Oryctolagus cuniculus: one gene and its partner. The protein of the gene in region 1 interacts with the protein of each later gene in a pairwise test. Links are inferred from orthologs where the notes say so. Each region holds a gene or a part of one and is shown on either strand. Other genes may lie near its edges.

Region 1 (3,806 bases):
AGAGATGGGAGGCCGGCACTGTGGCGCAGCGGGTAAAACCACCACCTGCAGTGCCGGCACCCCATAAGGGCACCGGTTCAAGTCCCGGCTGCTCCACTTCCCATCCAGCTCTCTGCTATGGCCTGGGAAAGCAGTAGGAGATGGCCCAGGTCCTTGGGCCCCTGCACCCGCGTGGGAGACCTGGAGGAAGCTCCTGGCTCCTGGCTTCGGATTGGTGCAGCTCCAGCTATTGCAGCCAGCTGGGGAGTGAACCAGCGGATGGAAGACCTCTCTCTCTCTCTCTCTCTCTCTCTCTGCATCTCCTTCTCTCTCTGTATAACTCTGACTTTCAAATGAATAAATCTTAAAAAAAGAAAGAGAGAGAAGAGGAAGGGGCATCCCAAGCAGTAGCTCCACCCACGGTGCCGCACTATCTGTCCTGATCCTTTTAGTTTAATTACTGATAAGGAGGGCCTTTCTTCTCCCAGCTTGCTATTTATTTTATATGCTGTTAATCAACCCTGCCATCTTTTGTATTAGACTGACATATTCTAGTGTACCACTAGAATTAAATTCCCTTGCCATTTCTCTGACTATATTTTGTGATTTTGTTTTTAATTAAAAAATCATTTATTTGAAAAGTGAGAGACAGAGACGCAGGAAAATCTCCCATTCACTGCCTCACCCCTGAGTGCCTGCAAAAGCCAGGGGCTGGCAACTCAACCCAGGTCTCCCACCTGGGCGCCAGGGACCCCACTGAGTTGCCACCTGCTACCCCCCAGGGCGCACACTAGCAGGTGGCTGGAACGGAAGGCAAAGCCGGCTCTTGAACCTAGGCACTGTGATACAGGTGCAGGCATCCCTAAGAGGCATCTTAATCACTGGGCCAAATGTCCGCCTCCAGGACCCTGGAACTTCATCCGGGTCTCCCACGCGGGTGCAGGGGCCCAGGCACTGGGGCCGTCCTCTGCTGCCCTCCCAGGCGCATCAGCAGGGAGCACCCAGCTAGTTCTTCCACTGTCACCCTGCAGCTCTTGCAAAGGCAGATGTGGGAGGGCTTAGCGGATCCTTTCAGCTCATCACCAGTGCCACATCGGGCCACTTACTCCCTCCCATTGGCTGGAACAGGTCACGTGGTCAGAACCAGCCGGAATATTCAGAATCAAGGACGTGCAGTCCCCACGCCAAGGCCACACAGCCACTCCAAGGCAAAGTCCAGGAGTGAGCAGGGCTTGGCAGCTGCAGAAGGCGTCTCTGAGGGTTGGGGTTCGCCTGAGTGTGTCCCCATCTCCTTCTCTCCTCCAGAGCGGGGTCAACAGCGGACTGGTCCGTGCCAAAGACTCCATCACCAGCTTGAAGGAAAGGACCACGCGGGTCAACCAGCACGTGCAGACCCTGCAGGTAGGAGCCCCCCCCTCATGGTACCGCCCCTTCCTCCAGGGCCAAGCCTCCACATGGTCAGGGGGATCCTGCCTATCACGGGCTGTCCCCGCCGCCTTAGCTGATCCCCCCACCCTTGCACGCCCCAGAGCGAGTGCTCGGTGCTGAGCGAGAACCTGGAGCGAAGGCGGCAGGAGGCCGAGGAGCTGGAAGGATACTGCAGCCAGCTCAAGGTGAGACCCGGGGCCCAGGACCGGGGCGCGGGGCGGGGACAGGGCCGGGAGGAGGCCAGCGCAGGGCCGGTCTGGCCGAGGCGGGAGCCGGGCTGCAGAGCAGACGTGCCGGGGGGAGCCCAGGGCAAAGCAGCGAGGCCGAGGGCCGGCGGGCGGAACTGGAATGGGAAGGCAGGGCCGGCGCCCTGGTGTCCTGACCCAGGAGAACTGCCGGAAGGTGACGCGGTCGGTGGAGGACGCGGAAATGAAGACCAACCTCCTGAAGCAGAACTCCGCCATGCTGGAGGCAAGTGGGCGGGGCGGGGGGGGTCTCAAGGCCGGACGCCCGGGGGCCTGGGGCGCCACCACGTGCCCCTGTCGCTCATGCACACCGGCGCTCCACCAAGAGGGATTCTGATGGGCGCCCCATCCTGCGTGCAGTCACGCACTTGAGCCCGCCCCGTGCACGCGGCCACCGCTGTCCCCCACGCAACCCCGGGGAAGCGCACGGGCCTCTGACACCCAGGAGGCTGGGGGCAGAGGACAGGCACGGGCCACGCCTCCAGCCGGGCCTCGAAGGGTGCGGCTGGTCCGGGCCCGCTCCTCTCCCTCGGGACTCCCGCGCGGACCTGGGGGTGGACGCGTGGGCTGGCCGCAGTGACCGCCCCGCCCTCCCCCACCCGCGCCCAGGAGAAGCTGCGCTACCTCCAGCAGCAGCTGCAGGACGAGACCCCGCGCAGGCAGGAGGCGGAGCTACAGGAGCTGGAGCAGAAGCTGGAAGCCGGCCTCTCCCGGCACGGCCTGGGTCCCGCGGCGCCGCCCCAGGGCTGCTCGGGCCCGCCGGGGAGCCCTGACGAGCCCCCGAGGCCGCGCGGCCTGGCCCCCGGCGGCTGGGGCGTGGGGCCCCGGGCTGGCGAGAGCCCCCACGTGAGCGAGCAGGAGCTGCAGAAGGTGTCCGCCGGCCTCGAGGAGCTGAGGTGCGACGTAGCACGCGGCCCCGGCGAGCGCTAAACCGGGGCGGGCGGGGCTCGAGGGCGGGGCAAGGGGTAGGGAGGTGGGCGGGGCCTCGAGGGGCGGGGCCTGAGCCACGGTGGAGGTGGAGACGGGACTTAGAGAAGGCACCTACAGCGGAGAGCATGCAGGGGGTGCAGCCAGGAGGGGCTGAGGGGACTTGGAAGAACCCGTGTCTTAGGTCTGTGGGTGGCATCTCCTCTCCTAGAGGCGCAGGCCCGGGGTGAGCGATGCCTTGGCAAGGTCCTGCCTGGGGGAGCGGGGTGGAGCTTGGAGCCCTGACAGTGGCAGGGCCGGAATAGCAGATGGGGGAGCTCTGGAGGACAGCAGGGCAGGGGAGAGTGTGGAGATCGGGTGGGAGGCGGGGTCACTGCGGCGTGTCCCAACCCGGCTCCCACCGCACCCCTCTCTGACCCCACAGGAGGGAGGTGTCCTCGCTGACCGCCCGCTGGCACCAGGAGGAGGGCGCCGTGCAGGAGGCCTTGCGGCTGCTCGGGGGGCTGGGCGGCAGGCTGGACGGCTTTCTCGGCCAGTGGGAGCGGGCGCAGCGCGAGCAGGCGCAGACGGCGCGGGGCCTGCAGGAGCTGCGAGGCCGTGCGGACGAACTGTGCACCATGTACGCGAGGGGCGGGGCTGGGGCGGGGCCAAGCCGGGCGGGGCCAATCAAGTGTGCCCGACCAAATACTGACGTGGAGCAGCGCCAATTAAGAGCAAGGGGGCGTGCCCTGCCCAAGGGATGGAACCAATGAGAGAAGTGGGTTCCACACCTTTAAATGACGGGCAGAGGGGCTGGCAGGCAGCGTGCCGGGGACCTGGGGCTGGTAATGGGTGGGGGCCTGGGGGCCTCGCTGCAGCACTGGTCACTCTGCCTCAGGGTGGAGCGGTCGGCCGTATCCGTGGCTTCTCTCAGGAGCGAACTGGAGGGGCTAGGCCCGGTGAAACCGATTCTGGAGGAGCTGGGGCGGCAATTCCAGAACTCCCGAAGGGGGCCCGACCTCTCCGTGACTTTGGATCGGTCCCCTCAAGGCTCCTGCGCCCGCTGCGCCAGGTGAGGGGGCAGGGCCTGCCCCAGGATGCCCTCTGGGCCCCGACGGGCGTTCGCGAAGGGCGGGCGGGAGCTGCGTGCTCTGGGAGCTGCCTCTCCTCCCTTTCAACAAGGGGAAGTCAGTGTCCTGCCAGCTCCGGAAAGGCGTGACAGATACAAACGCAGCACCACGGCATTGT
Region 2 (3,717 bases), on another chromosome or scaffold:
ATCTCAAGTGCTGGGCCTGCATATGGGAGCTGTCACCTAGGAGCAGTGGGTGACCAGAGAGGAAGCGCAAGACCCTGGGCAGGGTGCCACCCCTGACACTGCCGAGTGGGGCTTGCAGGTCCACAGGGTGGAGAGGGCACAGGTGAAAGGTCTCAGCCCTGGGGGTCAGGGTCACTGGTATCAGACGCCCTAGGGTGCTGCCGAGAAGGACACTGGGAGAGCGGCTGCGTGAGGGCGCCGGTCAGGGTTGGAGTGGGCCGCCCTTTGCCGTGGCAAGGGAGAGGCACGGAGCTGGCCAGCTTGGAGGCGCTAGGGACAGGCAGTTCCAGGGAAGATGCTCGCAGGGCCTGGCAGGTGGACTCCGACACCGGTCCCTGCCTCGCCCACAAGGCCTCCCGCTACGTCATGCCTGTGCCCGGGCAAGGCTCCCTGGCCCCCTAATGCTGGATGGAGACCCCTCCCCCACGCCGCAGAGGGGGCGGTTGCCTGAGTCCTAGAGAAAAAGACTCCTCACTGGGCACTTTGGATGCTTTGTATACACTTTGTGGTTTATTTGGTGATCGGCAGTCAGCGTCTCCGCGACTGAGTGGAAGAAAGCTAACAGAACGTAATCAAAATAGTGTTTTAATTGACGAATTTTACTTGTTCCATGCACCTGTGCCTTCTTCCGCTCCTATCTGCCTCCTTGGTGTACTGGAGTGCACACTGCGCGCCACACACCCCCGCCGCCGCCCCCGGGCCCTCTCGCCACCGTTAGGTGCTGGCTTTCCCCACCTCGGCTCCGGAGATGTGATGGTCTTTCACCCTGGAGGTCTCGGCCAGCCTTTCCTCCACCTTGTCCTCCTTCTCTGGCATCACCAGCAGCCGGTGCTGGGTTTTGGCGCCCAGCTTGTGCTCGGGCCTGGAGGCTTGGCGGGCATCCAGTTTGCACTCGGCCCGAAACTTGCCCTCCCCCTCCCTCTTGAAGGAGGCAGAGGACATGGCCTTGGGCTTGGGCGGCTGCAGCCACGAGTGGCTGAGGATCTCGTCGATGTGCAGGCGCCGGTTGACGTCGGGCTGCAGGATGCGGTAAATGAGGTCCTTGCACTCCCCGGTCAGGTTCTTGGAGCGCGGGAAGTCCACGCGGTGCTCCTTCTGGATGCGCAGCATCTTCTTGATGTCGGAGTCGTCGTAGGGCATGGAGCCGCACACCATGATATAGAGGATGACGCCCAGGCTCCAGATGTCGTAGACCTTGGGCTGGTAGGGGATGCCCTGCAGCACCTCGGGGGCTGCGTACGCCGCCGACCCGCAGAAGGTCTTGCTGAGGATGATGCGCCCGCTGCCGTCCCGCAGGCAGCGCTTGGAGAAGCCGAAGTCGGACAGCTTGATGTTGAAGTCCTTGTCGAGGAGGAGGTTCTCGCACTTGAGGTCCCGGTGGACGACGTCCAGGTCGTGGCAGTACTTGACGGCCGAGGAGAGCTGGCGGAACATCTTGCGCGCCACGTCCTCGTGCAGGGCCCCCCGGCACTTGATGAACTCGAGGAGGTCGCCCTGGACCCCGAGCTCCATGACGATGTAGATGCGGCCGTCCGACGTCTCGAAGATCTCGTAGGTCTTGATGATGGAGCGGTGGTTGACGGTCGCCAGGATGTCCATCTCCCGAGGAAGGAACCTCTCCACGAAGTCAGTGGGCGTCTTCTTGCGGTCGATGATCTTGACCGCCACGTTGAACTTGAGGCGCTCGGAGTAGGCAGACTTGACTTTGGCGTAGGAGCCCTTGCCCAGATTGATGCCCACGATGTAACCCTTCTTCCTTAGGACCGCGGCATCGTCCATGGTGCCCGGAGCGGCTGGCGCCGCTGCCCCTCTACATCCCCTCCCCGCCTGGGCCAGCGGGCATTGTCCTCGTTCGCGCTGCAGGGAGTCGTCTGGCTGGGCTGGGCCTGGACTCGGAGGGGTGGAACGCTCGGCATTGTCTCCAGGTGACTTCAGCGAATGAAGTCACAAAGCCAGGCTGCCTGGAGTGGGGACTGGGGCTTGAGGGGAACGGGGCCCCTGGAACCCTGGAGGCCAGGCCAGCCCAGCAGCAGTGCCTGCTCCCCGCCCGCTTCCCGCCCGGTGGAAGGAAGCCGGCACCCTGGACTGTGGTAACCTCCCTGCTTCTTCTTCCTTGCCATGGCTCCCCATCCGCGAATCGGGCCCCCAGGGGGCGGCATCTCAGGGCCAGCCACGGTGCCAGTCCTGAGCCCGTGTCCCTCTTCTGGCAGTGAAGGCCGACCCTGCATTATTCCTTATCCTGCTAGGTTTGATTTCCTGCAGCCCCTCTGCAGTATGGACACCCTCGGGGCCGGTGTCCTTGGAATCTCATGGTGCCTGCTGGGAGGGGAAGGTGTGCCCTGGTCCAGCCTGATGGATGGACAGAGGCTCTTAGCCCGGTGGACAAGAGTAGCGCAGTGTTGGGGGGTGGGCAGGAGCTGGTGGGAGGTCTCGGGCAGAGAGCTAGGGAGATGGACAGGACTCTGTGGGGGAGGGGGAGAGATGCAGCGGGTGGGCCTCTGGGGTCAGAGAGGAAAGTGGAGAAAAGGCCCCAAGTCAGGTGCACGTGCCAGTGAATGTGCAGGTCTTGGGTGTTGATGGGGCCCGAGGGCTGGCCGCCTCCAGAGCATCAGCCAGGTGAGCAGCCAAAACGCCTGTGTGAGACGGGGCCCAGGGGCCTGAATCCTGTCCGTTTGGCCCTCTGAGGGGCCTGGGCAGGGACTGCCCAGCCTTGCACGTCATTTGCATCTCTCAGAGCACCTTTTGCACCTGGAAATGGGAACATTCTCTTTCTGGATTGTGCATGTGTGTGCGTGTGCATGCTTGCACATGCACGTGTGTGCATGTGTAGTGTGTGTGTCTATTTTCCTTTGGAAATGTGGCACTCTGTGTGTGTCCCCTTAGCCCTTTGGAAGTGCTGGTGTCTATGGTCCATCACAGACCATCTGTGCCCATGGCAGCTGGGCAGGAGGTTTAGGAACAGAGAGAAGACCCATGGCATGTGGTGTTGGGGTGGGGGTAGTTATAGGAGGTTTCAAAGCAAAAGTGATGTTGGTGCTGTGTGCACGGGATCAGCAGGGCCCTACTAGGTCGATGGGGCTTGGGAGAGGGGAGGGCAGTGAGCCATCTGACCTCTTGGCCAGAGGCCTGGCCCTGTGGACACACCTGCAGCATGCAGGGTGCACCCTGTGTCTGGTGGCTGCAACGGAGGATTTCGGGAGCCGGACAGCAGACTGGCGGTGAGGCTGAGAGGAGACTGTGGGTGGGCCGAGGTGGGCGTGGCCCCTCAGGGACCACCTTCCAGCAGCATACTCTGGTTGACAGCTTCCGCTTGATGCTTCTCTTCCTCCTGGGGCTCTTTGCAGCAGGGACGGCCAGCACTTCACTCCTTTGTGTCCCTGAAGGTTGCTGGCCAGGACTCGGGAGCAGGACCAGCTGGTGTCCCTGATGGCCCCACTTTGGCTGGCTTGGCCAACTCATTCCTCTGGTTTTGTTTCTGGATTCTGCTGCTTCACACCACGCCCTCACCCACCTGGGTGGGACCGTGTGGCCTCTCTGGCTGACCCACTGGAGGAGGCAGGTGTCAGCATCGCACCTGCAGAACCGCTGGAGTATGGGAGCCAATGGCTTCTTCCAGGATGTGCAGGCAGGGCCTGAGGCTCCTGGCGTGCGCATAGGAGGGATTTAGGCTGGACCTGG

The links.
Region 2: the proteins of TSKS (region 1) and TSSK2 interact in binary tests that used the Homo sapiens proteins (3 or more experiments, as listed by UniProt). The link is inferred for Oryctolagus cuniculus from reciprocal best matches to the Homo sapiens genes TSKS and TSSK2.

Annotation. Positions count from the first base shown.
Region 1 is NC_091449.1:7,788,917-7,792,722, forward strand, and holds part of TSKS (testis-specific serine kinase substrate), read left to right. Parts: intron 1-1,284; coding exon 1,285-1,380; intron 1,381-1,508; coding exon 1,509-1,592; intron 1,593-1,767; coding exon 1,768-1,878; intron 1,879-2,261; coding exon 2,262-2,548; intron 2,549-3,003; coding exon 3,004-3,198; intron 3,199-3,456; coding exon 3,457-3,630; intron 3,631-3,806. UniProt on the Homo sapiens protein: May play a role in testicular physiology, most probably in the process of spermatogenesis or spermatid development.
Region 2 is NC_091452.1:26,932,299-26,936,015, reverse strand, and holds TSSK2 (testis-specific serine/threonine-protein kinase 2), read right to left. Parts: upstream 1,952-3,717; 5' UTR 1,819-1,951; coding exon 754-1,818; 3' UTR 528-753; downstream 1-527.